6 linked regions of the Oryctolagus cuniculus genome follow. The protein of the gene in region 1 interacts with the protein of each later gene in a pairwise test. Links are inferred from orthologs where the notes say so. Each region holds a gene or a part of one and is shown in the gene's direction. Other genes may lie near its edges. The genes, in order: TSC22D4, ZMYND10, TEX11, MAD2L1, POLR1C and NRBP1.

The links.
Region 2: the proteins of TSC22D4 (region 1) and ZMYND10 interact in binary tests that used the Homo sapiens proteins (3 or more experiments, as listed by UniProt). The two-hybrid records come from large-scale screens. The link is inferred for Oryctolagus cuniculus from reciprocal best matches to the Homo sapiens genes TSC22D4 and ZMYND10.
Region 3: the proteins of TSC22D4 (region 1) and TEX11 interact in a two-hybrid assay, tested with the Homo sapiens proteins (2 studies listed by BioGRID and IntAct). The two-hybrid records come from large-scale screens. The link is inferred for Oryctolagus cuniculus from reciprocal best matches to the Homo sapiens genes TSC22D4 and TEX11.
Region 4: the proteins of TSC22D4 (region 1) and MAD2L1 interact in binary tests that used the Homo sapiens proteins (3 or more experiments, as listed by UniProt). The two-hybrid records come from large-scale screens. The link is inferred for Oryctolagus cuniculus from reciprocal best matches to the Homo sapiens genes TSC22D4 and MAD2L1.
Region 5: the proteins of TSC22D4 (region 1) and POLR1C interact in binary tests that used the Homo sapiens proteins (3 or more experiments, as listed by UniProt). The two-hybrid records come from large-scale screens. The link is inferred for Oryctolagus cuniculus from reciprocal best matches to the Homo sapiens genes TSC22D4 and POLR1C.
Region 6: the proteins of TSC22D4 (region 1) and NRBP1 interact in binary tests that used the Homo sapiens proteins (3 or more experiments, as listed by UniProt). The link is inferred for Oryctolagus cuniculus from reciprocal best matches to the Homo sapiens genes TSC22D4 and NRBP1.

The regions. Positions count from the first base shown.
Region 1 is NC_091450.1:42,686,147-42,690,081, reverse strand, and holds the start of TSC22D4 (TSC22 domain family protein 4), read left to right. Parts: upstream 1-1,135; 5' UTR 1,136-1,611; intron 1,612-2,012; 5' UTR 2,013-2,272; coding exon 2,273-3,034; intron 3,035-3,935.
Region 2 is NC_091441.1:98,973,200-98,977,200, forward strand, and holds the start of ZMYND10 (zinc finger MYND domain-containing protein 10), read left to right. Parts: upstream 1-1,201; 5' UTR 1,202-1,352; coding exon 1,353-1,444; intron 1,445-1,697; coding exon 1,698-1,806; intron 1,807-2,343; coding exon 2,344-2,460; intron 2,461-2,582; coding exon 2,583-2,636; intron 2,637-2,729; coding exon 2,730-2,867; intron 2,868-2,979; coding exon 2,980-3,068; intron 3,069-3,148; coding exon 3,149-3,249; intron 3,250-3,541; coding exon 3,542-3,714; intron 3,715-3,945; coding exon 3,946-4,001. UniProt on the Homo sapiens protein: Plays a role in axonemal structure organization and motility. Involved in axonemal pre-assembly of inner and outer dynein arms (IDA and ODA, respectively) for proper axoneme building for cilia motility.
Region 3 is NC_091453.1:50,676,084-50,679,583, reverse strand, and holds part of TEX11 (testis-expressed protein 11), read left to right. Parts: intron 1-146; coding exon 147-227; intron 228-318; coding exon 319-438; intron 439-3,500. UniProt on the Homo sapiens protein: Regulator of crossing-over during meiosis. Involved in initiation and/or maintenance of chromosome synapsis and formation of crossovers.
Region 4 is NC_091439.1:45,314,142-45,318,276, forward strand, and holds the start of MAD2L1 (mitotic spindle assembly checkpoint protein MAD2A), read left to right. Parts: upstream 1-1,335; 5' UTR 1,336-1,818; coding exon 1,819-1,891; intron 1,892-2,913; coding exon 2,914-3,060; intron 3,061-4,135. UniProt on the Homo sapiens protein: Component of the spindle-assembly checkpoint that prevents the onset of anaphase until all chromosomes are properly aligned at the metaphase plate.
Region 5 is NC_091436.1:126,548,517-126,552,516, reverse strand, and holds the start of POLR1C (DNA-directed RNA polymerases I and III subunit RPAC1), read left to right. Parts: upstream 1-1,200; 5' UTR 1,201-1,261; coding exon 1,262-1,330; exon of another isoform or gene 1,331-1,361; intron 1,362-1,441; coding exon 1,442-1,513; intron 1,514-1,810; exon of another isoform or gene 1,811-1,877; coding exon of another isoform or gene 1,878-1,958; intron 1,959-2,701; coding exon 2,702-2,809; intron 2,810-3,018; coding exon 3,019-3,151; intron 3,152-3,373; coding exon 3,374-3,493; intron 3,494-3,575; coding exon 3,576-3,728; intron 3,729-3,882; coding exon 3,883-4,000. Other genes in the region: protein YIPF3, read right to left, coding at 163-360, 873-953. UniProt on the Homo sapiens protein: DNA-dependent RNA polymerase catalyzes the transcription of DNA into RNA using the four ribonucleoside triphosphates as substrates.
Region 6 is NC_091433.1:175,555,873-175,560,065, reverse strand, and holds the start of NRBP1 (nuclear receptor-binding protein), read left to right. Parts: upstream 1-1,393; 5' UTR 1,394-1,521; intron 1,522-4,193. UniProt on the Homo sapiens protein: Required for embryonic development. Plays a role in intestinal epithelial cell fate and proliferation, thereby involved in the architectural development of the intestine potentially via the regulation of Wnt-responsive genes.

The DNA.
Region 1 (3,935 bases):
GCGGGAGAGCTAGGGAAAGGGGCCCTGCTTGTGGCTGCTGGGGTTGGTCCTCAGGTGCACCTGTGTGGGTAAGTGGATATTCCTGCGTGTCCAGTGTCTGGAGAGAAAGTGAAAGTCAGCCTCCTGTCTGCAAGTCCTAATGTGTTTCTCGTTCCACACAAAGAGCTGAGTGTGGGGTCAGCACTGGGGCGCAGCAGATTAATGCTCTGCCTGTGCCGTCCGCATCCCATATGGCCACCGGTTCTAGTCCCGGCTGCTCCTCTTCCAGTCCAGCTCTCTGCTATGGCCTGGGAAAGCAGTAGAAGATGGCCCAAGTCCTTGGGTCCGTGCACCCGTGTAGGAGACCCAGAAGAAGCTCCTGGCTCCTGGCTTTGGTTGTGGCCATTTGGGGAGTGAACCAGCGGATAGAAGACCTCTCTCTCTGCCTCTCCCTCTCAATCTCTGCAACTCTGCCTCTCAAATAAATAAATAGAAAAGAGCTGAGTGTGTGGAATGTCTCTGCTGTACGAATGACAGCCTTTTCCAAACTCTCTGGTCTCAATTTTCACATCCAAGTAGTTCAGTAATATGATGTCCAGGATTTCTGATACAGGACATTGGGGGTAGGGATGGGAGAAGGCGGGCTAGGAGTTGCTAATCGCTGAACCCACTTGCTAAGTACCTGGGTGGTCACTATTCAGTTTTGTTGGAAGTTTTTCATAATAATCCACTTTTTCAGATAAGGAGTGGGGGAAATAATAGTCCCTTCCTCTTTCAAAGAAGCTGTGACAATGACAGTCACAGCCGCGCCGGCACGTTTAAGTCAGGCACTTCTGGGCAGCCGGGCACCCCGCACGGGCCTGGTCCGCTCCTGGGCGCGCGTCCGCAGGCCAATGGCAGCCAGCTGCCTGCAAGTAAGGGAATCCCTGGTCTCTCGGCGAACTCCGCCCCTTTCTCCCCGCCCTCGAAGCCCCGCCCTCCGAGGAAGCGCCGGGCCGGGGCCCAGCAGGTGTGGGGTTAAGGGAGCCCGTCTGGGGCCCCAGGAGCAGAAGCAACTGCAAGAGCGGCGGCTGTGGCGGGCCTGGCCCGGGGCCAGCTGGCGGGGAGCCCCAGGAGGGAGGAGGGGGGAGGAAGAGGGGAAGGAGGAGGAGGAGGAGGAGGAGAGGAGCAGTCAGCAGGCCCGAGGAGGCAGGACTTCCTGGTGTGGGGGTTGTCAACAGCCCCGAAAGAGAAAGACAGACGAGACTGAGAGCAGCCGAGGAGCGGAGACAGGTCCAGCGGGACCACGCGGGAGGAGGTGTGCGAGACCCGCTCGCCGGGACCACCGAGGCCGGCTGCCGCCTGGAGCCGCGGGGGGCTGAGCCGCACCCTCCCACAGCTATCGGGAGACCTCGGGCTTCGGAGGCGGCTCCTGGGCTCCGCCGAGGGGGCGCAGACTCCTTTTCTGGAGCGAAAACTTTCCACGGAGATGCCTCGCAGGGGGAGGTGCGGCCCCCGAACAGGACTGGGCTGCCCCTGACCGCCGCCTGCGTGCCCCGCGCCACCCCGGGGCCAGGAGGCCCCCGGGAAAAGACAGCCCAACACCTTGGGCGCCGGGACCCCCACGGTCAGCTCGGTGGCCGAGACCGAGAGGTAAGGCCCCCGGACTGGGCGTGGCGCGGCGCGGCGCTTGGGGCGCGGGCAGGGCCTGCCCCTGGGATGTGGGAACCGGGGTGCGGGGTGCCTGGAGGAGGCCCAGCAGAGTCCGCCAAGCGGCCTGGAGGTGCCGCCTCACCCTGGTTCACCCAGGACCTGGAGCCGGTGCGCTCAGGACAAACTGGGTCCCCTGAGTTTGAATCCCAGGCCAGAAATGCCCAAGTCTGTGTGCCCCACGCCGTGCTCTCTGGCCTCCCCTGCCTGTCTCTTTGTCTCTGGGTCTCTGGCGATTTCCCCTTCCTCTCCAATTCTGCTCCCCAGAGAGGAAGCCCCGGAGGTGGCCTGCCCACTGCTTTCTCACACACGCGCGCGCACCCGCGCTCTCTCTCTCTTTCCAGTTTGCAAACTCAGCTCTGGAGTTCGGCGGCGGCAGCAGGAAAAACCTGCCCCTGCTCCCCCCTCCCGCCACCTCCCCTACCCTGTTCTGTCATCAGCCGGGCACCCCCAGTTCCCACAAGGCCCTTTGGCCATGTCGGACCCAGATGTTCCCAGGGGCCCTGATGCCCCCGCAATGTGGCCCCCCTGTTCTAGGGGTGCCTGAGCCCCTTCAAAGAGCCCCAGTCCCCCAACCTCAGCCCAGTCCTGAGTTCCGGGGACCATGAGTGGAGGCAAAAAGAAGAGTAGTTTCCAGATCACCAGCGTCACCACGGACTACGAGGGCCCAGGGAGCCCCGGCGGCTCCGATCCCCCTGCCCCACCGGCCCCTGCGGGGCCCCCGCCCCGCCTCCCCAACGGGGAGCCCAACCCCGACCCAGGGGGCAAGAGCACCCCCCGGAATGGCTCCCCACCGCCTGGGGCCCCTGCCTCCCGCTTCCGGGTGGTGAAGCTGCCCCACGGCTTGGGAGAGCCTTATCGCCGAGGTCGTTGGACGTGTGTGGATGTTTACGAGCGAGACCTGGAGCCCCCCAGCTTCGGCCGGCTCCTGGAGGGGATCCGGGGAGCCTCGGGGGGCACTGGGGGTCGATCTCTGGATTCCAGGTTGGAGCTGGCCAGCTTGGGCCTGGGCGCCCCTATCCCACAGCCAGGCCTGTCTCAGGGCCCCACCTCCTGGCTGCGTCCGCCCCCCAGCTCCCCTGGACCTCAGGCCCGCTCCCTCACCGGCGGGCTGGGCCAGCTGTCGGTGCCCGGCAAGGCCAAGGTGGAGACACCCCTCCTGGCGGCCTCCCCACCGCAGCAGCGCCTCCCAGAGCCTGGGACTGGGGATAGCGCCGGCACATCCCTGGCTCCCGTGCCCCTGCCCTCCCTAAGGGTGGAAGTGGAGGCTGGGGGCCCGGCGGCAGGGACCCCTCCAGCGTCCCGAAGGAAAGATGGAGCCCTGCGACTGAGGATGGAGTTGGTTGCTCCAGAGGAGGCTGGACAGGTAAGAGCCAGGTTCCAGGTTGGGGGAGACTCCTGAGGGCCCTGCTCAGGCATCTCAGTCGGAGCCTCACCGCCATGCTCCCCTCCCCCGCCACTGTCATCTGTCTCATCCGTGGCACCTCTTTTCTCTCTCTGCCGTCGCACTTTGCTGTCCTTTGCTTTCTCCCTGGGGCTCCTCTTCCCTGCAAGCTACACCTTCTTTCTCTGTGGCCTTTAATTTGTTGCCTTTGGCTCTTGCCCTGTCTCCATATAGCCTTTAGCTACAATGGTCTGCTCACTTTGGTCACCACCTTCTGTCTTGGGGTCTCACTCCCTCTGGCTCCAGGTAATGAGGGTGGAGGCCCCGGGCTGGGTGACTCGGCCCCTGGTCGAGGAGTTGCCAGGGTTTGGGGCGGGGGGAGGCTCAGGGGGCAAAAGGTGGGATTTCTGCTCTCAACCTCTCCACGCAGCTCCATCCTAAGCGCGGGGTCTTCTCTCTGCCAGTGCCCAGCCCAGGCTCATCTCCACCCTTGCTGCAAGCCATGTTTCTCTGAGGCACTGAGGAACTGGGTGGATGGGGCACTGGACGGGATGGGGGGCTCGCCTCACCCCTGGTGGGGGGGTCTGTCTTGGTTCCTGCCTCTGTCCCCTCTGGGGTTGATAACAAGGGGTGGCCACCGTGGCGTGGGAGAGAGGCGGGAAGCAGCAGAGGAGGAGTTAAGTCCTGTGCGTTCTGCTTCCTGTCTCCAAAAGAGGAACAAGTCTGGGCTGGGGGCAGGATGCCTGGGTCCCTGGGGTGGGGGTGGGCAGCCAGGAATGTGGGGTTGGATGCTTCTGTTCTGCAGGAGAAAATAACACCTTGGACTGCGGGGTGAGGGGGAAGGCCTGGAGGGTGAGGATGAGAATGTTTCCCCCTTCCTGGC
Region 2 (4,001 bases), on another chromosome or scaffold:
AACCTGTGCCCTTATGGGATGCTGGTGCAGAGTTGGAGGCTGAGCCTACTGTGCCACAGCGCTGGCCTCAGCTAGTCTACTTTGGATCCAACTCCCTGCTAATGCACCTGGGAAGGCAGTAAATGATGGCCCAAGTGATTGGGCCCCTGCCACCCACCCACGTGGGAGACCTGGGTTCTTGGCTTCATCCTGGCCTGTTTCTGGATGTTGCAGTCATTTGGGGAGTGAACCAGCAAAGAGAAGATCTCGGCCAGCGCAGCGGCTCACTAGGCTAATCCTCCACCTTGCGGCGCCAGCACACCGGGTTCTAGTCCCGGTCGGGGCGCCGGATTCTGTCCCGGTTGTCCTTCTTCCAGGCCAGCTCTCTGCTGTGGCCCGGGAAGGCAGTGGAGGATGGCCCAAGTGCTTGGGCCCTGCACCCCATGGGAGACCAGGAGAAGCACCTGGCTCCTGCCATCGGATCAGCGCGGTGCGCCGGCCGCAGCGCACTAGCTGTGGCGGCCATTGGAGGGTGAATCAATGGCAAAAGTAAGACCTTTCTCTCTCTCTCACTATCATCCACTCTGTCAAAAAAAAAAAAAAAAAAAAAAAAAAAAAGGAAGATCTCTCTGTCTCTAAGTTAGTTAAGTAAATCCTTTTTTTTAATAAAGTAAATCTTAACAACAGAACTTAAGGCAAAAGCCACTCTGGGGAGTATAAGGAGCCCACGGGCCAGCCTCGGGGCTGTTAGGAGGCAAAGGGGAGACGGTTAGGAGGCAAAGGGGAGACGGCAGAATCGAAGTCCCGAGTGAGGAGAGAGAAAGGGGGACCCTAGGAAGCTGCCTTGGGCCTGGATTCTGAGGGTCCGAGACGAGCCCAGAGCGGCGCCGTGCGAGGGAGGGCGTGTGTGTGACGCGCACCTTCCAGGCTCCCGGCTGTGGCGGAGGGGCCGGGACAGGAGCAGGTCCGGAGAGAACGCTGCCGGCCCTGGGCTGCACCTGGAGAGCAGGCTGCGGGAAACCACGATGAGACATCCGGTGGTCAGGATGGCACGGCTGCCAGAACTGGCGGAGTCCGGATTCCCCAGCCCAGTGCCGGCCCCAGGTATTGGCCGCGGCCGGAGTCCGGCCCAGGCGCGGTTGTCCAGGGCAGCGGGCTCCGCTAGCTAGCGAAGCCGACAGCAGGGGCGGGGCGGAGCCGCGGCCGCACTGCGCAGGCGCGGGCTCACCCGTTTACATGGCGACCAGGACCCACGCGCCGCAACCGCCCCACAACCGTCCTGTGCCAGACTTCGGCCCCGCTGCAGTCCGTCGTCCTGACGTGTGTCAGCGCCCCCCGCTCCCCAGCCTCTGCCTGGGGACCCTGGCCCCGACATGGGCGACCTGGAGCTGCTGCTGCCCGGGGAGGCTGATGTGCTGGTGCGGGGTCTGCGCAGCTTCCCGCTGCGAGAGATGGGCACTGAAGGGTGAGGCGGCTGGGTCAGACCGAGTCACCGCGGCAGGCCTTGAGTGGGGGAGAGCTTGGGTTTGACGTTCGGGGAAGGGGTCGCCCAGTGCGCAGGGGCTCGGGCGGGAGGCAGAGATCTTGGAGGCTAAAGCTTGTCGCTGCGGAGCCCCCCTCGCTCCTGAGAATCGGGCTGCATTCAGGAGGATGCAGCCCCGCCCTCACGTAACGGCACACCTGTGCACCCAAATGCGCACACGTCCCGTCTGGGGCAGGTGGACGCGGCAGCACGAGAGCCTGGAGAAGCTCAACATGCAGGCCATCCTGGATGCCACCGCGAGCCAGAGCGAGCCCATCCAGGAGCTGCTGGTCACCCACGGGAAGGTATGACGGGCCGCTGCCCGTCGCTCCTCTCCCACCGCACCCTCAGGGCTGAAGGCGTCCCTGGATTGACAGCAAGGCCTGACGAGCTCCCCACTGGAGTGCGAGTGGGACTTTGGCATTGGCGGGGGCAGCCTCCCCAACACGAGAGGGGAGAGTTGGAGCCCATGCCGATGCCCGGCTGGAGCGTGGACCAGGGGTGGCCCCAGCACATGACCTGAAATGCCACTTGGCAGAAGGGATCCTCTGCCAGCAGTAGCAGTGGGCACAGTGAGAGGGAAGGGCCCTAGGGGACAGAGGACAGAGTGGATGGAGGCTGCGTGTGGGAGGGGTGCTACGGCTGCAGGGGCAGAGGGTGTCCCCACTGAGGTGCTGGCGGCAGCTGGAAACAGGGTACATGCTGGGATGTGTCCTTTGGCAGCCTGGGAGTCTCTGGGACTCCGGGGAGTGCAAGAGCTGAGCTGGGCCAAGGCAGACCGGGGAAGCTTGCCAGGCTAAGGCCAGCCCGCCCACCCTTGTTCTTTCCCTCACCCTCCGAAGATCCCGACGCTGGTGGAGGAGCTGATCACCGTGGAGATGTGGAAGCAGAAAGTGTTGCCCGTGCTGTGCAAGCTGGAGGACTTCAAGCCCCAGAACACCTTCCCCATATACATGGTGGTGCGCTGGGCCCCACCTCACGCCTCTTCCCACCCCGTCGGAGGGCCCTGGACTGGGGAGGACAGCTGGTGTCCCCGCCCCCCCCTCCCCAGCAGCCCCGGTGGCCTTGTCCTCTCTGGCAGGTACACCACGAGGCCTCCATCATCAACCTCCTTGAGACAGTGTTCTTCCACAGGGTGAGGTGCAGGCCGGGGCCTGGCCCGAGGGGCGTTGTGTCTGTGCGGGGAGGGCATCAGAGACCGAAAGTTGCCCCTCTGCCTGCCCCCCAGGAGGTGTGTGAGTCGGCAGAAGACACCGTCTTGGACCTGGTGGACTACTGCCACCGCAAACTGGCTCTTCTGGTGGCCCGGGGTGGCCAGAGTGGTCTCCGGGAGGAGGAGGGGTCCCAGGACAGCACCCCCATGCAGGTGGGCTGAGAATCCCTGAAGCGGGCAAGGCACAGGTCCAGGTTCCCCGAGGCCTGTGCAGGAGGGGGTCGGGGTGGGGCCGACACAGCTGGAGCACCGTGTGGCCCTGCAGGAGCTGCAGAAGCAGGCAGAGCTGATGGAGTTTGAGATCACACTGAAAGCCCTGTCGGTGCTGCGCTACATCACAGACTGCGTGGACAGGTGGGCAGCCTTCGGGGGCCTAGGTGGCTGGCGGCGCCTGTAGCCTCCGCTCACCTCCCTCCTCCCTCCCCGGCCCCTAGCCTTTCCCTGAGCACCTTGAGCCGCATGCTCAGCACGCACAACCTGCCCTGCCTCCTGGTGCAGCTGCTGGAGCACAGTCCTTGGAGCCGGCGGGAAGGCGGTAAGATGCCCCCCCCCCCACCCGCCCCAGCTCCCAGGCCACCCTTCAGGACCGATGCAGGTGGGCAGTTTGCACACAAACGTTGCTCCTAGCTCACAGAGGATACCAGGATGCCTCATCCCAAGTGGGCCTAGAGCTGGGCTCTGCAGCAGGCAGGGCCCATGTGTCCACTACTGAGGACTCACCTTGCACGGGGGCCCAGGCTTTCCCACCATGCCCAGGCAGCGGTCAGTTCCCCCGCCCGCACAGCGGACTCGCTCCCAGAGACTGCTTTGCCCGCCCCTCTCCCCAGGCAAGCTGCAGCGATTTGAGGGCGGCCGTTGGCATACGGTGGCCCCTTCGGAGCAGCAAAAGCTGAGCAAGCTGGATGGGCAGGTGTGGATCGCCCTGTACAACCTGCTGCTGAGCTCTGAGGCCCGGGCCCGCTACTGCCTCACGAGTTTTGCCAAGGGACAGCTTCTCAAGGTAGGGGGCTCCCCTGCACCAGCTGCTCCAGCCCAGCGCCACCCCTCCCCATCCCATCCCCTCCCCACCCCCACCCAAGTCCTCCTTCCAGACCTGAGCTTCAGGTGACACAGCCAATGCGACACAGGCCCCGCAGGTACCCTCAGCCCAGCCCAGGCCTTCCCTGGTCCCTGGCCCCGGTCCCCTGGCCGGCACCAGCTTCACCCTGGCCTCCCCCGGATTCCCTTGCAGCTTCGGCCCTTTCTCACAGACACCCTCCTGGACCAGCTGCCCAACCTGGCAGACCT
Region 3 (3,500 bases), on another chromosome or scaffold:
ACTCTCCTAAATGCTGACTGTTCCTTTTTGTTTTCTGTAGGTTTTGTGACTGAATATTGATAGAGGAGCATTTTCTCCAATATCCCCCAACCAGTCTGGGGAGATGTGAACTTTAAAAAATTATTTTTCTAACTTTTCTCTTCTAGATGAATATTAAAACAGGAAGAGGCTGGATAGATATTGGAAAAGCTGTGCGTTCTGATGAATTTTTTGAAGCTGCCATTGTTGTAAGTTACCTTTGATTTTTAGCTGTGGCAATTATTAGTAACATCTGTGGCTGTTCTCATCCCCACATTGTATTGCATTTTTATTTCCCAGGGTCTGGAGCACTTATATGTCAGATTAGTGGAGAGGAGTTACACTGAGGCACACGTGATCATTCAGAAGGTGGCTGTGGAGAAGGACCTCTTCAAAGTCTATTCTCACCAAGCAGAGTCAGTAGGTATCATAGGCACACAAGCCTTACTACGGGGGCAAGTTATAGATGTAAATGCAAGAATAATGAGAGGTAATCTATTAGAAGAAAATCAAATGTCACTGGCCATTTATAGGATGCTATATTTGATCTTTGGATCTTGTCTAATGTCTCAAGGAGACATGACTAATGGTGACTGGATCTGTATGGGAGTGAATGGGGGTAAATGACTAATATATATTTTCAACCACTGCATGTAACATCTGTCATTTATTTGTGGCAGCAGCCTTTTCTTGCAACACCTGTCTCCGTGACTGTCTCTTACATTCAGTCTGTCAAATATTCAGTCAAATATTTACTTGAGAAGAGTCTTTTCATTTGCTGTTGTTTTTCATTTACTATTTTTTTTATTTTAAAGATTTATTTATTTATTTGAAAGTCAGAGCTACACAGAGAGAAAAGGAGAGGCAGAGAGAGAGAGAGAGAGAGAGAGAGAGAGGTCTTCCGTCCTCTGGTTTACTCCCTAATTGGCTGCAATGGCCGGAGCTGGGCCGATCCAAAGCCAGGAGTCAGGAGCTTCACCCAGGTCTCCCACGTGGGTGTAGGGGCCCAAGGACTTGGGCCATCTTTCACTGCCTTCCCAGACCATAGCAGAGAGCTGGATTGGAAGTGGACCAGCCAGCACTTGAACTGGCACCCAAAAGGGTTGCCAGCACTGTAGGCGGTGGCTTTACCCACTATGTCACAGCGCTGGCCCCTTGATAATTTTTTTAAAAATAAAGTTTATTTATTTATTTTGAAAGTCATAGTTACAGAGAGAAAGAGGAAGAGACAGAGGGATCTTCCACCTACTGGTTCATTCCCTAGATGGTCACAACAACCAGTGCTGGGCCTGGCTGAATCCAGGAGCCAAGGAGCTTCATCCAGGTCTCCCATGTGGGTGGCAATTACCCAAACATTTGGGCCATCTTCTGATGTTTTTCCCAGGCCATTATTGAGGAGCTGGATTGGAAGTGGAGCTGCTGGGACATAAATTGACACTCGTGTGTGATGTCAGTATCACACGTGGTGGGTGGCTTTGCCTGCCGTGCCACATTGCCGGCCCCTTGATGATGCTTTAAAATATCTCCTGTTATCACACAATGTTCAAAGTTGTACTTTGCCTCTGTTTGCATTGTAGGTTTCCTCATTTTGTTATAGTTAGGTGTGCATTTTCAGTTGACAAAAAGCAGTGATGAATTTGCTTAATGTAATTATGTAATCCTGGAAATGAAAGAGGCACTAAAGTCATCTAGTATAGCCCCCTTTTTTACTTTTTATGATTTTTATTAAGATATGATTTATATACCATAGAATTCACCCATTTACAATGTTTAATTCAGTGCTTTTAGTGTATTCACAAAATCGTTGAGGCCATTTGCGGAGTGAACCAGTGGATGGAAGACCTCTCTCTGCCTCTGCCTCTGCCTCTCTGTAACTCTGTCTTTCAAATAAATAAATAAATCTTTTTAAAATAAGAGAGTACAATGTGAGATAGGGATATAGCTTCATTTACATGTGGTTATCCAGTTGTCCCAATATCATTTATTGAGAAGACTATTCTTTCCAAATTGAGTGATCTTGATACATATATCAAAAACCAATTCATCATAAATGTGGAGGTTTATTTGTGGACTCTTATTTCTATTCCATTGATCACAATGTCTATTCTTTTTTTTAAAATTATCTATTTGAAAGGTAGAGTTAGAGAGAGAGGGAGGGAGGGGAGAGCGTCCAGAGATCCAATTGTTTGCTCCTCAAATGTCCTCAACAGCTGGGGCTAGGCCAGGCTGAAGCCAGGAGCTGGGAATTCCATCAGGGTCTCCCATACAAGTGTCTTGGGGCCCAAGTACTTGTACCATCTTCAGCTACTTTCCCAGGCTCATTAAAAGGACACTGGATCAGAAGTGGAGCAGCCAGGACTCTCTCTCTCTGCCTATGCCTCTCTTTAGCTCTGTCTTTCAAATAAATAAATAAATAAATAAATATTTTAAGAAGGATTAATAACATTAATATGTGGTGTCTCTTTCATAGGAGCATAAGTTTTTGGGAGATCCAGAAATGTAAACATGCATTTCAGCAGGGTAATTGCCTTGAAGTAATGTGGATGAAGTTCTTCAGTAAAACAAAGGATTAGTAGTTTATTTTGATGTGAAAATTAAGAAGATTGTGAATTTTGGGGGAGTATAAAAGGGACATAAAATAGATATTTTAAATTGCAGAGGAGAATGAGATTTTTTAAGGTTTATTTTATTTATTTGAAAGGCAGAGAGAAAGAGAAAGAGAGAGAAGGAAAGAGAGAGAGAAAGGGAGAGAGAGATCTTCCATCCATTGGTTCACTCCTCAAGTGGCCACAGTAGCCAGGGCTGGACTAGATTGAAGTCAGGAGCCAGGAGCTTCATCCAGTTCTCCCACATGGGTGCAAGGGCCCAAGTACTTGGGCCTTCTTCTGCTGCTTTTCTCAGGCCATTAGCAGGGAGCTGGGACTCAAACTGACATCCATATGGGATGCTGGCACTGCAGGCAGTGGCTTTACGTGCTATGTCACAATGCCGGATCCATTTTTTAAGGTGAGAGATGAAGTAATTTTTAGAGGGATACAGTAGGAGGATATGGCATGCTATAAAGTACTTGAGGAATATGATAGAGTCTGTCCACCTGTGTGGGAAATATACTGCAGAAATCAACAAAGGGGAAAACTCAGTTTTATTGAGCATCTACTATATGCTTGACATAGTACTAGGAGCTGTAGTGTTCCTAATTGCTTAGCTGGAGTGAAGGTCCTATTGAAGTTAGCATAAATTCGTAGAGGGTCCATTTAGCATAGTTTACAGTGGATGACAGTGCCCTCTCTCTGTCTCTCTGTCTCTGTCTCTCTCTGTCACATAAATAAATAAATATAAATAAATAGTCTAAACAAAATTTTAAAAGTAAAATACCGTATCTGTTAACTAAATTCTTCAATTCTTAAATGGCTGACCCAAGCCTCTTCTATAAATGCTTAATAAATCTTTACATATTTATTTTTTATTTGAGAAAATCTTGC
Region 4 (4,135 bases), on another chromosome or scaffold:
CAAGAAATTCTTTCCTGAATGCTGTTTTAACATGGAGTTTCTTAGAAAGAGAGGCAAATTTTATACAGAGAAAGGTGGACACCACACTATTAGTCTGATGGCAAATTCTAGTCCTACTTTTAAGCTCCCAGTAGAAGGGATGAAGAACATCCAAGTTTCTTTCTCCTTACCCTCACATCACCTATTGTCCCTAATATCAAAGATTGCAGTTTCTACACATACACACAATAAAGGATATAAGGAAAATATTTCACTGGGTTATATTAGCCTATTACCGATTATGTTCATTTTTAAACTTCAAATGGTTAAAAATCTGATACATAACACTAATAGAATGCTAAGATGGAGGCCCAAATTCCAAGCCCCTGAAGGGATACATCCAATATAATCCCTTTGCCTTGAGTTTGGGCAGAACCTAAAACTATAAGGGGAATATCACTTCTGGGATTAGGTTAATCAAAAGGGAGGTGACCTGACCTACTCAGGTGAGCTCTCCCAAAGATCAAGGGTCTCCTGAAAATCAGAGACTGGAAATGGGAAAAGACATGTGACAAACATGCAAGACAACACACGGGGACCTCACTCCAACAACGGCGAGCAATGTAGTTCTGCCAGCCAACAACCAGGGAGTTTGGGAGGGGACCCCAAACAGCAAATGAGACCACATTTGCAGACCTTTGATTTTAGCCTTGTGTGACATCGAACCTACGTCATGCTCAGTACCTACATAACTGAGATAACAATTGGTGTTTTTTTTTATTTAAGCCACCAATTTATGGTACTCTGTTCCGAAGCAATAGAAAACACACACACTCAAGCATTTCTCATATACTTAAATAACAGTATGCATATGTCTGGCAGATAGGAGAGTTTTTCAGACTTCATTTTACATTTCAGACTTGATCTCCCTAGATGCTTTAAGAATCCTTTCACAATGGACATCAATGCTACTTGTGCACTACCTCCTTAACACTTCTCATCCTATTGAATTTGCGAATGAAAATTCAGTGAGTTAATTCTTCAGTGTCGATGGGCCTCTTCTGTGAGGTTTAGGCCAGCCCCCTAAAGATGGATAGAAAGGACAGAACCTGGAGGAGGTCTCAACCGCCCCTCACCCCCACCCCCACAAACACACACCCTGGTCTGTGACGGAAGGCCATACTTCCAGACAGATTTGGCAGGGGACAGAAAAGCAAGATGCGGTTTGTCGCTTTAATCTCTAACTCCGTCTCTCCGGAAAAGCCGCGTTCCCACAAAGACACCAGGCCTGCCTAAACTACTTGGCAGCTGCATACTTTGTTCCTTTAAAAATCCCCCAAGCGTGCACTGCGGGTTGCTTCAGGTGCAGCGGCCAGGCGGCTCACAACAGTTTGACAGTTATCTCTCAAATTTAGGAAGTGCGCCTCTCTTGGTCACTAAAGCCACAGGTCTATGAAGCGACCATTTAAACGCAGACCTTCCACCTTCTTTGCGCGGCCAAACAAGTACCTGGGCGACCACGCCAGAGAATATCTCCCAACACCACATCAGAGCGTAGAAACTTGGAACCTGGCGACCAAGTTCACCAACTGCGCCTGCGCAAAGCGGCCTTGTCGTTCTCCTTGCCCCCCCCCCCCCCGCAGCGAAGTCGGGGAGGCGAGAGAGGAAGGGCAGGGCCCCGCCGCGAGGGGCGGGGCTTAGAGGCTCGTCGCGTTTACGCAAAGGGCGCGACTGCGTGCTGCGTCGTTACATTTGAAACTGGTGGCGGGGAACTGCTGTGGACCGCCGCCGTCTGGGTCTGCGGAGCGGAAGCGCGCGTTGGCGTCCGTGGGTCTGGCCATGGCGCGACAGCTAGCCCGGGAGCAGGGTATCACCCTGCGCGGGAGCGCTGAAATTGTGGCCGAGTTCTTCTGTGAGTCTTCCTGGCGCTCGGCGGAGGGTGGGGATACCTGAGGCCTGGCGGCGCGGGAGGCCTACGGCTCGGCCTCGCGGACCCCTGAAGCCTTGGCCGCTGCAGGCCTTCTGCTGCCCGGGAGGAGTGTGGGGAGAGGAGATGCGGACGCTTGTGCGGTCTCTATGCTGATGCTACAGGGGGAGGCCTAGGTGCCCCTGAGGCCTGCCTCCGGGCCTAGCCTCTAACGGAGCGAAATGCTTCTTTAATATGTTGATGCCTCCCCCCATTCTCCCCCCATATTTCACCACCCACCCCGCCCTCCTCCTAGAGGCTTGGGACACCAAATGAGCGCGTGTGTTTCCACCTAGACTCCACCCTCAGCCCAGGTGTGGGAGCTGTACTTCCTCAAAGAACAGTGAGGAGGAAAAAGAGGGAGAGGCTAGCCGGACGCAGTGGACCAGAAACTCATTCACGTGTTTTCTGGGTCGCAAAAGTCTAGTTTGGCGTCTTCTGAACACATAATCTGAACTTGGGCTTGCCTTACAATACGGTAAAATTGGGAAGTGGTAGGTTAAGGCAGTTTGGCATTTTTCTTTTGTTTAGTTGTCTCTTGGTAACAAGATTTTAAGGATTTTTAAAAATACTTATTTTTTTGAATGGCCTGGACCAAGCTGAAGCCTGGAGCCTGAAACTCCGTCCTAGTTTCCCACAGCTAGCAAGGACCCAGGCATTTGGGTCATTTTTTACTGCCTTCCCAGGGCACATTCTCAGAAAGAAGGCTGGGAAGTAGAACAGGACTTGGACTAGCACTCTAGTATGGGATGTCCTGCGTCACAGGCACTGAGTTAACCTGCACCATAAGGCAGACCTGAATTAAAGGATGTTGATGGCACTCTGATTACTTTGGTTTCCACGAGATATAATAAATGTGTGTAACCATTTTCAGTTTTTTAAGAGTAATGAAACTAGTCACATTTAAACATACTTTATTTTCCATTGGTACAAAAGGACAATGACTTACATGTTTGTTTTGCTTTCAGCATTTGGCATCAACAGCATTTTGTATCAGCGTGGCATATATCCATCTGAAACCTTTACTCGAGTGCAGAAGTATGGACTCACCTTGCTTGTAACTACTGATCCTGAGCTTATCAAATACCTAAATAATGTGGTGGAACAACTAAAAGGTATTTAATCATTGGAAAAAATTCCAGTGTTGCAGGCATTCCTAGAGCTACATTTTCTATCATGCTAAATGGCCTTTTTCAGCTTCCTATATCAAAGTATTAATTTTTTAAAAAAAACAACCATCTCAAATATAGTGATTCTCAATTGGGAGGAAGCAAATAATAGTGATTGAAGTAGATTGGTAGAAACCCTATCCACCCCCCTCCCCACACACACACACTACATTTTAAGTGGGCTGGATATTTTACTTTCAGAAACCTTACACAGCCTTAACAAAACAGTTAGCATCAAATCCCTTTGAAATAGCTTTTGCAGGTAATGTGGCCAGGGGAACAACATGGAATTTTGCATGATCCCAATGGCATTCATTATCTATTTAAGAAAATGTACGGTATATGTTCTTATATGGTATGTTGGTTTTCTGTAACTGGCGTCTATAAAGTTGTTAGATTAAGATCAAGGAAAATAAAAATGAATGCAACTAGGGAAGTAAACTTCAAAAATAGAAAAAAGAATAATTACTCAATAGATATCCAGTAGAGTTTTCTTATTTTTCAACCACTTCCATTTGTTAGAAAAATTCACAAATTTTTCTGTGTGAACACTTGCTTTAGCTCAAGAAATTGTATTCCTTGTTGGATCAAAACTTGATCTCCATTTGTTTGGTTTTTTACCTACTTCGGGAACTCTTATTAGTTTCTCTGCCTAGGGTTTTTATTTCTAATTTTCTATGTTGTAGTGTGTTTCTCTCAATTTGGCTTCCCATGTTATTTCCAAAGAGTGCTACAGTAACTAAATATTTTTTTTGAGGGGAAGGGAATTTTTAAATTCAGAAATCCTTTTTTTCTCAAATTTTTTAGTTCAATTATAGCTTCATGCTTTATAATTTTCATTGTATTTTCATGAACTTTGTTTTTAAAGTGCCCTGTTGATGGGCATCTGAATTTTGTTACCATGTTATCTCTCTTTCAAGCTACATTATCCCCTAGATAATATGTAAATATTTAACTGCCATTCATATATACAATATTAAAATCCTTCAATACTTATAGAGGTTAATTGGATGTATTCTCT
Region 5 (4,000 bases), on another chromosome or scaffold:
ATGCGGGGATGGCCCGTGAGGCTCCTGGCCCTGGGGTCCTGCTCCCTAGCTTCTGTCGGGGTTCTACTGGGCTCCAACTGGGGCAGCCTGAGGTCAAGGTCACCCACACGACTCCAGATCGCGCAGGTATCCTGCACTTGCCAAGGATTCAGCCCCGCTTACCTGGTCAGCCACCTGCCGGCTCAGCTGCCCCTTAAAGCCCTTCATGCCCAGGAACTCCCCATCCTCCTCTTCCGCAGCGGCCGCGTCGGCGTCCACTTCTTCCTCGCGCAGGCGCTGGTGCAGCTCACCCATGTCCTCGAAGCTGGAGCCCGAGGTGTCATCCATGTTCTCCATGTCAATCACGGCAGAGCCCCCACCCTGTGAAGGCAATGCCTCCTACAGTGCAGGCCTTTCTGGTCCCTGCCCCGCTGCTGGCGCCGCGCCTCCGAATCCCCGCACATCAGGCCACTGTCACCCCTCACTTTCTCTCAGAACCCCCTGGCTGCTGGTTCCGGCGCTCTCCTCTAGCCCGAGAAGCCACCTACTTGTCTTCCGCTCATGCCTTTTCCCCACCTTCCCCATCAAAGGCCCCGAGGGTTTGCAAGGCGCAAGCAAGACCATGCACACAAGATGTTTCTGGCGAGTGCCAGCGAATCCCGCCCACTGCCCCGCTTGACCCCGATTGACCTCCTCTTCTGTCTCTCTTCCTAACGCCTCAGGCGCGTCCAGAGACCCGAGGCCCTCCGGCCGGCACTAGCTTCACTGACTTTCCCGTGCACGAAGACCCAAAGGGGAGAGGAGTGTTGCAAATGGAGGAAGCTTTCGGGCCCCGAGGGAGGCTTCCCCAGACACGTCGGGGTGGCCGGCAGCCGAAGCGCTGGGGCCATTACCTGGATGTTTTCTTCGAACCCGCCCCATTCCGGGCCGGCCCCGTTTCGAGCGCCGCCGGCCGGCGCCGCGGTGGCTGCCATGTCCCTGGAGGGCTCCCGTCCCCGAAGCCAGCGCTAGCCCCGCGCGCGGAGGAAGAGGGGGCAGACGTGGGCCTGAGGCACGGAGACGTCCAGGGCCGAGGACAGGCGCCACCAGCCGGAACGCAAAAAAGAGAAACCCGGATGTTTGGCCCAGACAGACTTCCGGAAGTTGGGGACGTGGACGGAGGCGGGGCAAAGTCTCGCGATACGTCGGGCTCCGGGAGGCGGTGCGTTGCCACGGCGACGGAGGAAAGCCGCTAGAACGCACGCGCAGGCGTGAGGCCTTAGTCTCGTGGGGGAAGTCGAAGATGGCGGCGGCTCAGGCCGTTGAAGAAATGCGGAGCCGCGTGGTTTTAGGGGAGTTCGGAGTTCGGAATGTAAGCCTTGTGGCCTTGAGTTCAGAAGGAAGTATGAGAGGGACGGGTCGGGATCAAAGTGAGGGCGGGCTTGGCTTCGCTGCCTCTTCACGGACGGACCCGTATCTCTAGGTTCATACCACCGACTTCCCCGGGAACTATTCCGGTTATGATGATGCCTGGGATCAGGACCGCTTCGAGAAGGTGCGTGGGGCCGGAGTGTGATCGGAGCAGCCCGGGCTTCCGAGCTGCTCCCAGGGGTCACTCACGTGGCAAAACCAAGTTTGCTCAGCATCCGACCGTGTCCTGGGCGCTCCTTGCACACCGGGCTTCTGCCTTGTTCTGCGATCGAGCTGTTCAGGCCTGTACAGGTCATTCTAGTTGGATGCGGTGACGGCGGCTGAGAGTGGGGGTGGGGCACCCCTCAGAGACGGTCTAGACTGGGGCAGAATCATAGGATTCCCTGAAGGAAGTGACATCTGAGTTTGAGCCCTGAACGGTGAGTGAAGGTCGAGGAGGGAGGAGTAAGCGAGCTAACTTGTAAAGACGGGGTGGGCGTGTCCCTAGAATGTCCGAACCGCGCATTATTGATAGAATGTTACACTGGCCTGACGGCGGGCACTGGGGGTTCTTGAGCAGGCGTGACCAGGTGATCCGGTTTGCAGCTTTGGTGGTTGAGAAGGAGGAGAAGGGGCGGGCAGATCGCTAGGCAGTGCTGGGGGAAGGAGCCCAGGAGTGCTTTGGTGAGAGCGGTCAGGACTTTCTGGCTGTGGGAACTCATCTGACGGCTGGCGGTGCCTGGGCAGTGGGAACGATGACCCATTCGGTTCCCCGCGGTGTGGAGGAGCTAGCAGCCCAGGAGAGCGTTCGACAGAATGTGGGGAGTTGTCCATAGTAGTTGCTAAAACCGTGAGTGTGGTTGATGTCACTTTGGAGAGAGACAAGAAGCTGGGGACCGGTAACACCTAGGTGGTGGGTGGAAGGAGACGCAACTCCTCAGATGGAGGACTGGTGCCCAGACACGGAGGAGATGGGGTTTGAGAAAGGAGTTTTTTTTTTTTTTTTTTTTTTTTTTTTTAATTCAATGCCAAATGTAACATTAGTAAGAAAAGAACTGAGTCCTGTCAGCTGGACTAAACTGTATAGAAGTTTCTGCTCTTCATAGAATAGCTTCTGGCTCAAGCCATATTGCATAGGATTTTCAACTAGTGGCATACAAAACTGGGGGCATTGTTCAAGAAACTAAAAGAACAGAGGAAGAAAACATCAAATGAGGCTTTGCTGGGCAGAGGAAGGCTTCTGGGGGAGCGGGGATGTTCCGTGTCAAGGGGGAGCTGTAGCCAGGTCACACCAAGAGCAGGCTCCATCCACTTGTTTTTCCTTTGCCTCTAGAACTTCCGCGTGGATGTGGTACACATGGATGAAAACTCGCTGGAGTTTGACATGGTGGGAATTGATGCGGCCATTGCCAATGCTTTCCGGCGAATTCTGCTGGCGGAGGTATCAGCGGGGCCGGTGACGGCTGGAGCGTGGGGAAGTGTGCCATCACCTCATCTGTCAGTGTCTCAAGTTGCCCCCCCCCCCCCCCCCCGATTTTGTGGAGTGTTTTGCTTTAAGTTTTTATGAGGCATTCTTCTAGGAGTTGTCCATCTCAGGAGGTGGGGAGTCTGCCGGGTTTTTATAGACGGGTAATCCTGGTCTCTGGGTAGGTGCCCACAATGGCTGTGGAGAAGGTACTGGTGTACAACAACACATCCATCGTGCAGGATGAGATCCTGGCTCACCGCCTGGGGCTCATTCCCATTCATGCTGATCCACGACTGTTTGAATATCGGAACCAAGGTGAGGGCCTGGGAGATGAAGCTGTTGGGGGAAGTGGAACCGCTTTCTTCCTTAGTAGATCCTGGGACCAGCTGCCTGGGTTCGAATCCTGGGTTGACTCTTGTGGCCCTGGGCAAGTGACTCATCATCTGTGGACGAGAGGAGCAGCACACGGGTAGCACTCGGCAGTGTCTACCCTGATGCTCACTGCTGCTGTAAGGGCCGCCTCTTCCCTTTGTGCAGGGGACGACGAGGGCACAGAGATAGACACTCTGCAGTTTCGGCTGCAGGTCAGGTGCACTCGGAACCCCCACGCTGCTAAAGATTCCTCTGACCCCAACGAGCTCTATGTGAATCACAAAGGTTAGTGGGCAAGGAGGGAGGCCTGGCTGCTGGCTGTGGGGGCGTCTCGGGGCTACAGCCCTCTGACTTGTCTTCCCTCCAGTGTACACCAGGCACATGACGTGGGTTCCCCTGGGGAACCAGGCTGACCTCTTCCCTGAGGGCACTATCCGGCCGGTGCACGATGATATCCTCATTGCCCAGCTGCGACCTGGCCAAGAGATTGACCTGCTCATGCACTGTGTCAAGGGCATCGGTGAGACCCGTGGGCCGCCTCAGGTGCAGGGCGTAGCTTAGTCGCCGCAGGAATCCAGGGATGCTCCTGACCGGCAGAAGGCGGTGGGCTTGGGCTTTCGCGCTCAGTGGCTCGGGAGAGGATTCCCCCAGGCTGATCTCTCCCTTCCCTGCAGGCAAGGACCACGCCAAGTTCTCACCAGTGGCGACAGCCAGTTACAGGCTCCTGCCAGACATTACCCTGCTTGCACCCATAGAAGGGGAAGCGGCTGAGGAGCTGAGCCAGTGCTTCTC
Region 6 (4,193 bases), on another chromosome or scaffold:
TAAAAAAAAAATAAATAAATAAAAAAAATTTGTATAAGTGTGAGGATTGAATGAGTTAATATATCACGAGGCAATTAAAACACGCCCTAGCTCATAGAAGCTACTATGTATAGTACTAAATATTTTTGAAATATTGTGATATTTTTACAATCACGCATTTTCTATATTCATAAGTAGGAAAAATAAAAATAAATAAATGTGGGGGTGAAAACACAGGCAGTGTCTGACCATGCCAGATGTAATGCAAGGTTGGAACGAGAGCCTGAAGGTGTCAAAGGATCCTCTATGCGTACTTGAAAGGAATTAGCTGAAAGCAAAAGGTTGCTAAGGCTCATTCAGAAGAAATTAGAAACTATAACCATGACAGGAACTGACATTTAATGAACATTTACTATGGGTCAGATGTCCCAATTGTTTTGGAGCCCACAGAGGGACAAGGTTAATCTGGAGAGCAGCAAGAACATTATTTTCTTTGAGATTAGAACAAAGATTCTAGCCTCAACACTCTGAAATTATATATTAAATTTGGTGAGTGCGAACTTTTTTTTTCTTTTTTTAATAAACATGCTCTGAAGGTTTAGAGATCCCTCTAAGGCCAGCGACCCCGGGAGATGAAGACACTCCCCAATCCTGGTGAGGGATCCAGCCTCCGCCCTCCACCATTCGCGTCTGGTGCCAGAGGGAACTTCACCCCCCAGGCTCCGAGTTCAGGTCGCAGCCCCAAGCTCGCACCTCCTCGCCGCACCAGTCTACACCCGTTCCGAATGTCACTTCAAGGAAGTCTCCCGCGAGTCTTCCTGTTTGGGACTCTAGCTCTGACTCTCTACTCTTGCGTTTGTCAGGTGTCACCGAACGATAATCTCCACGAGTTCGTTCCCACCAGGATCAAACGATGCGGATCTGCGTCAGGCGCCTGCACGCAGTTTGGCAGCCGTCAGTGCTGTGCAATCACAGAGCGCTATTAATTTTCAGTACGAAGTGACTTTTAAAAGCGCCTTCCGAAGATCTGGTGCCCTGCGCACACAGCATCGCCCCGAAGGAACGAACGAGCGGCAGCGAGCGCTCCCCTCAGACCGAGGCTGCGTCGCCCGCTCCTTTTGTCTTTTCGTGGCATGAGAACTGTCATGGCGCCTTCCAGAAGAGGGAGAGGCCCTTCTTCGGGCCCAGCAGGACCCTCGGGGGCACCAGGACCGGCCGGGGGGCTGGACGTGGGCGAGCCCCACCTTGGGACGGAGAAGCCCGAGCCCCGCGCGGCGCCCGCGGCACTCGCCGTCGGGGAGGAGACCCGGTTGAGCAGCAGCCCGGCGAGCGGCCGCCCGGCGGGCACCGCCCCCCGCCGCCTTGTCCAATGGAAACCTGACGGCGCCGCGGCACCGCCCATCTGTTGGTCAGGACGCCGCGAGGGCGGGGCCCGCAGTTCGGTTGCGCTGCGGAGCGCAGCTGTGAGGGAGTCGCCGCGATCCGGGGCCCCGGAACCCGAGCTGGAGCTGAAGCGCAGGCTGCGGGGCGCGGAGTCGGGAGGTGAGCGCCCCGGGCGGTGGGGTCCCGGGAAGGGAGGGGTTCGCGAGAGGACAGAGGGATCGGTCTCCGAGGCCCGCTCGGGGCACCCGGTAGGCGGGTGCTGAGGCGGCCCTCTCCACTCGGCGCCCCGGGCTGGCCGAAGCTGAGGGGCCTGCTCGGCCCCGCGGCCGCCGCCCGGCGCTCCCTGGCCTCCCCGGCGTGGCGGCGGCGGCCCCGGAACTCTGCGGCGCGGCTCGGGAGGCCCCGGCGTTCGCTTGGAACTCGGGCTGCGAGAGGCGGGGCCGGCGGCGGGGGCGGGGGCGGGGGCGGCGGCGGCCGGGCGGCCTGCGGAAGCTGCGCGGCCCGGCCCGGCCTGCTCGCGGGCGGCGCGCCGGCGGCGCGGGGGCGTGGCCTGCGCCCTGACGCGCGGCGGGCCGGCCTTTGATGAGGTGGCCGCCGCGGGCCGCAGCGCCCCGCTGCCTCGCGGACGCCGCGCGGGGCGGACCTGTTGGAGTGCGCAGTTGGGAGGGCCTCTCTCCCTCCCCGGAGCTTGCTTTCCGTCCCGCGGCCTCCGAGGCTCGGCGGCGTTAAGGACAGCCGAGAGGCCCTGTGGCCTGGGAGCTGCGGCGAAGTTGACAGGCGGAGGGGGGCTGCGGTCGAATAAATCAAAGTCTCGGAGAAGAACTTTGCGGGTCCACTGCGCTGCTCCAGAGTGGACGCGCCTGGCATCCGAGGGTGGCGAGTCCCCCCCCGGTGGTTGGAAACGGGCCTTCCCATATGTGGCCTCTCTCTAACTTGGCAGCAGCCCCCGTGTTACCCAGGCTGCGTCTCCGATGGTGGGCGGCTGGACGCTCTTGGGCAGTGTCCTCATTTTGCCCACCGGGAGAAGACTGGGGAAGGGGGAGACAATACCATTCCAAGGGCTTCTGTCTGTGCCTGATGAAGGTTTGGCCTCTCCTGTGCTGCCCTAGTGTGGATGAGTGGGGGCCAGACGCTTCTTCAGATCTCATTGCTTTCAGTTCCAACAGCCTCGTGTTGGAATTCCACTGATGCTTACTGTTGTAATCTAGCCAGAAATTCGAGACGCATTCAGAGAATCCAGCTGCTCTGCAAGATGACTGATAGACTTTCTAACTGACACGTGCAGATAGCTGCCCTGGCTGGCCGAGTCTCTAGGATGGGCACAGACCTGGAAAATAACGCGGGACAAAGAGTGCCAGTTCTCTCTGATGGGCCTCATTGCCATTTGGTGGTCACTACAATGTCATCTAATAAAAACCTTATGGTTTGCCTTATGGTATATGTTGAGGGCAGATGTGGGCATCAGAGAGTTTTCTTTTTTCTTTCCTTTTTTTTTTTTTTTTTCTTTTTGAAGGTAGAAGAAAGAGAAAGTTTATTCATAGGTGAGGAGGCAGCAGACTTTTGAGTTTCAGGAACCATCATCCTGCTTGGTGAGGATGATCTGGGGTTTTTATGGAGGCTGCAGAGGGAGGGTGGGCTGCTGAACCAGGTGCTGAAGGCGGGTGTGGCTCTGTTCACTGGGTGGGTTGGACATCAGTGCAGTCCCTTGGGAACCGTCCTTGATGGCTTGACTTTATCAGGAGAATATAGGAGGGTACCTAAGTAGCTACAGAACATATTTGACTGAGATCTGAAAGAGGCAGATCATTATGTTAAGAGATTCTAGGCTTCATTAATTAGGATGATACTCAACCTAGAGCCCTGGCAGGATCAGGGGTCCCTATCTTTGCTCAAGAAAATAATTTTTTTAAGATTTATTTTATTTGAAAGGCGAAGTTAGGGAGAGAGAAAGACAGAGAAGCTCTTCTATCTACTGGTTCGCTCCCTAAATGGCCACAGCGGCGGGGTGGGGATGGAGGGGTGTGCCAGGCTGAAGCCAGAAGCTTCATCCAGGCCTCCTATGGGGGTGGCAGACTCAGGCATCTCCCACTGCTTCCCAGGCACATTCACAGGGAGCTGGATAGGAAGTGGAGCATTGCAGGTGGTGACTTACCCCGCTATGTCACAACTCTGGCCCCAAGAAAAGAATTTCAGCCGTGAGACAATAGAAGTGAGGTAGCAAAATTTAATGAAGAGAATACGCTTAGTAGGCCAGGTGGCATTTCAGGAGAAAACTGAGAGCTGAGAGTTCTAAAAAGAGCTGTGAGCTTTCAAATGATTTGTGTTGATTGGAGGCCTCTGGCACTCTGAACTTAGAGGAGCAAAGTTACTTCTCGGGTGTCACCTTCATATTGGAGAATGCTCCCTTGAGCCCAGCACACACAGGTTCCTACCCCTTCACACCTTAGTTCTTACAGAATACCATTCTGGGGTTGTCTGGTGATTTTTTGCACAGGGCAGTGATATTCCGCTTTCGAAAGTTTTCTCTTTTCAGGTAGCCATACTCCAGGAAAAAAGGTTACATTCTGTGCTACTTCTTGCCACAAAAGCTGCACCTTAACTTATTTGTGTCTTTTTTTATTATTATTATTTAAAAAAATTTTTTTTTAGTGGAAGGTAAAAGTAGCAAATTTTATTAAGGAAGGGCCATCCGTAAGGGCGGATGGGCACCTCTCTAGACAGGAGAGTGCCATTGCTCGGATGGGGGTGGGGGAGCAAGGTTACATGATTGAGTGGAAAGATTACACCTGGCCAGGCAGGCGGGCGGCTCAGCAGAGAGGCAGAGGGCTGAG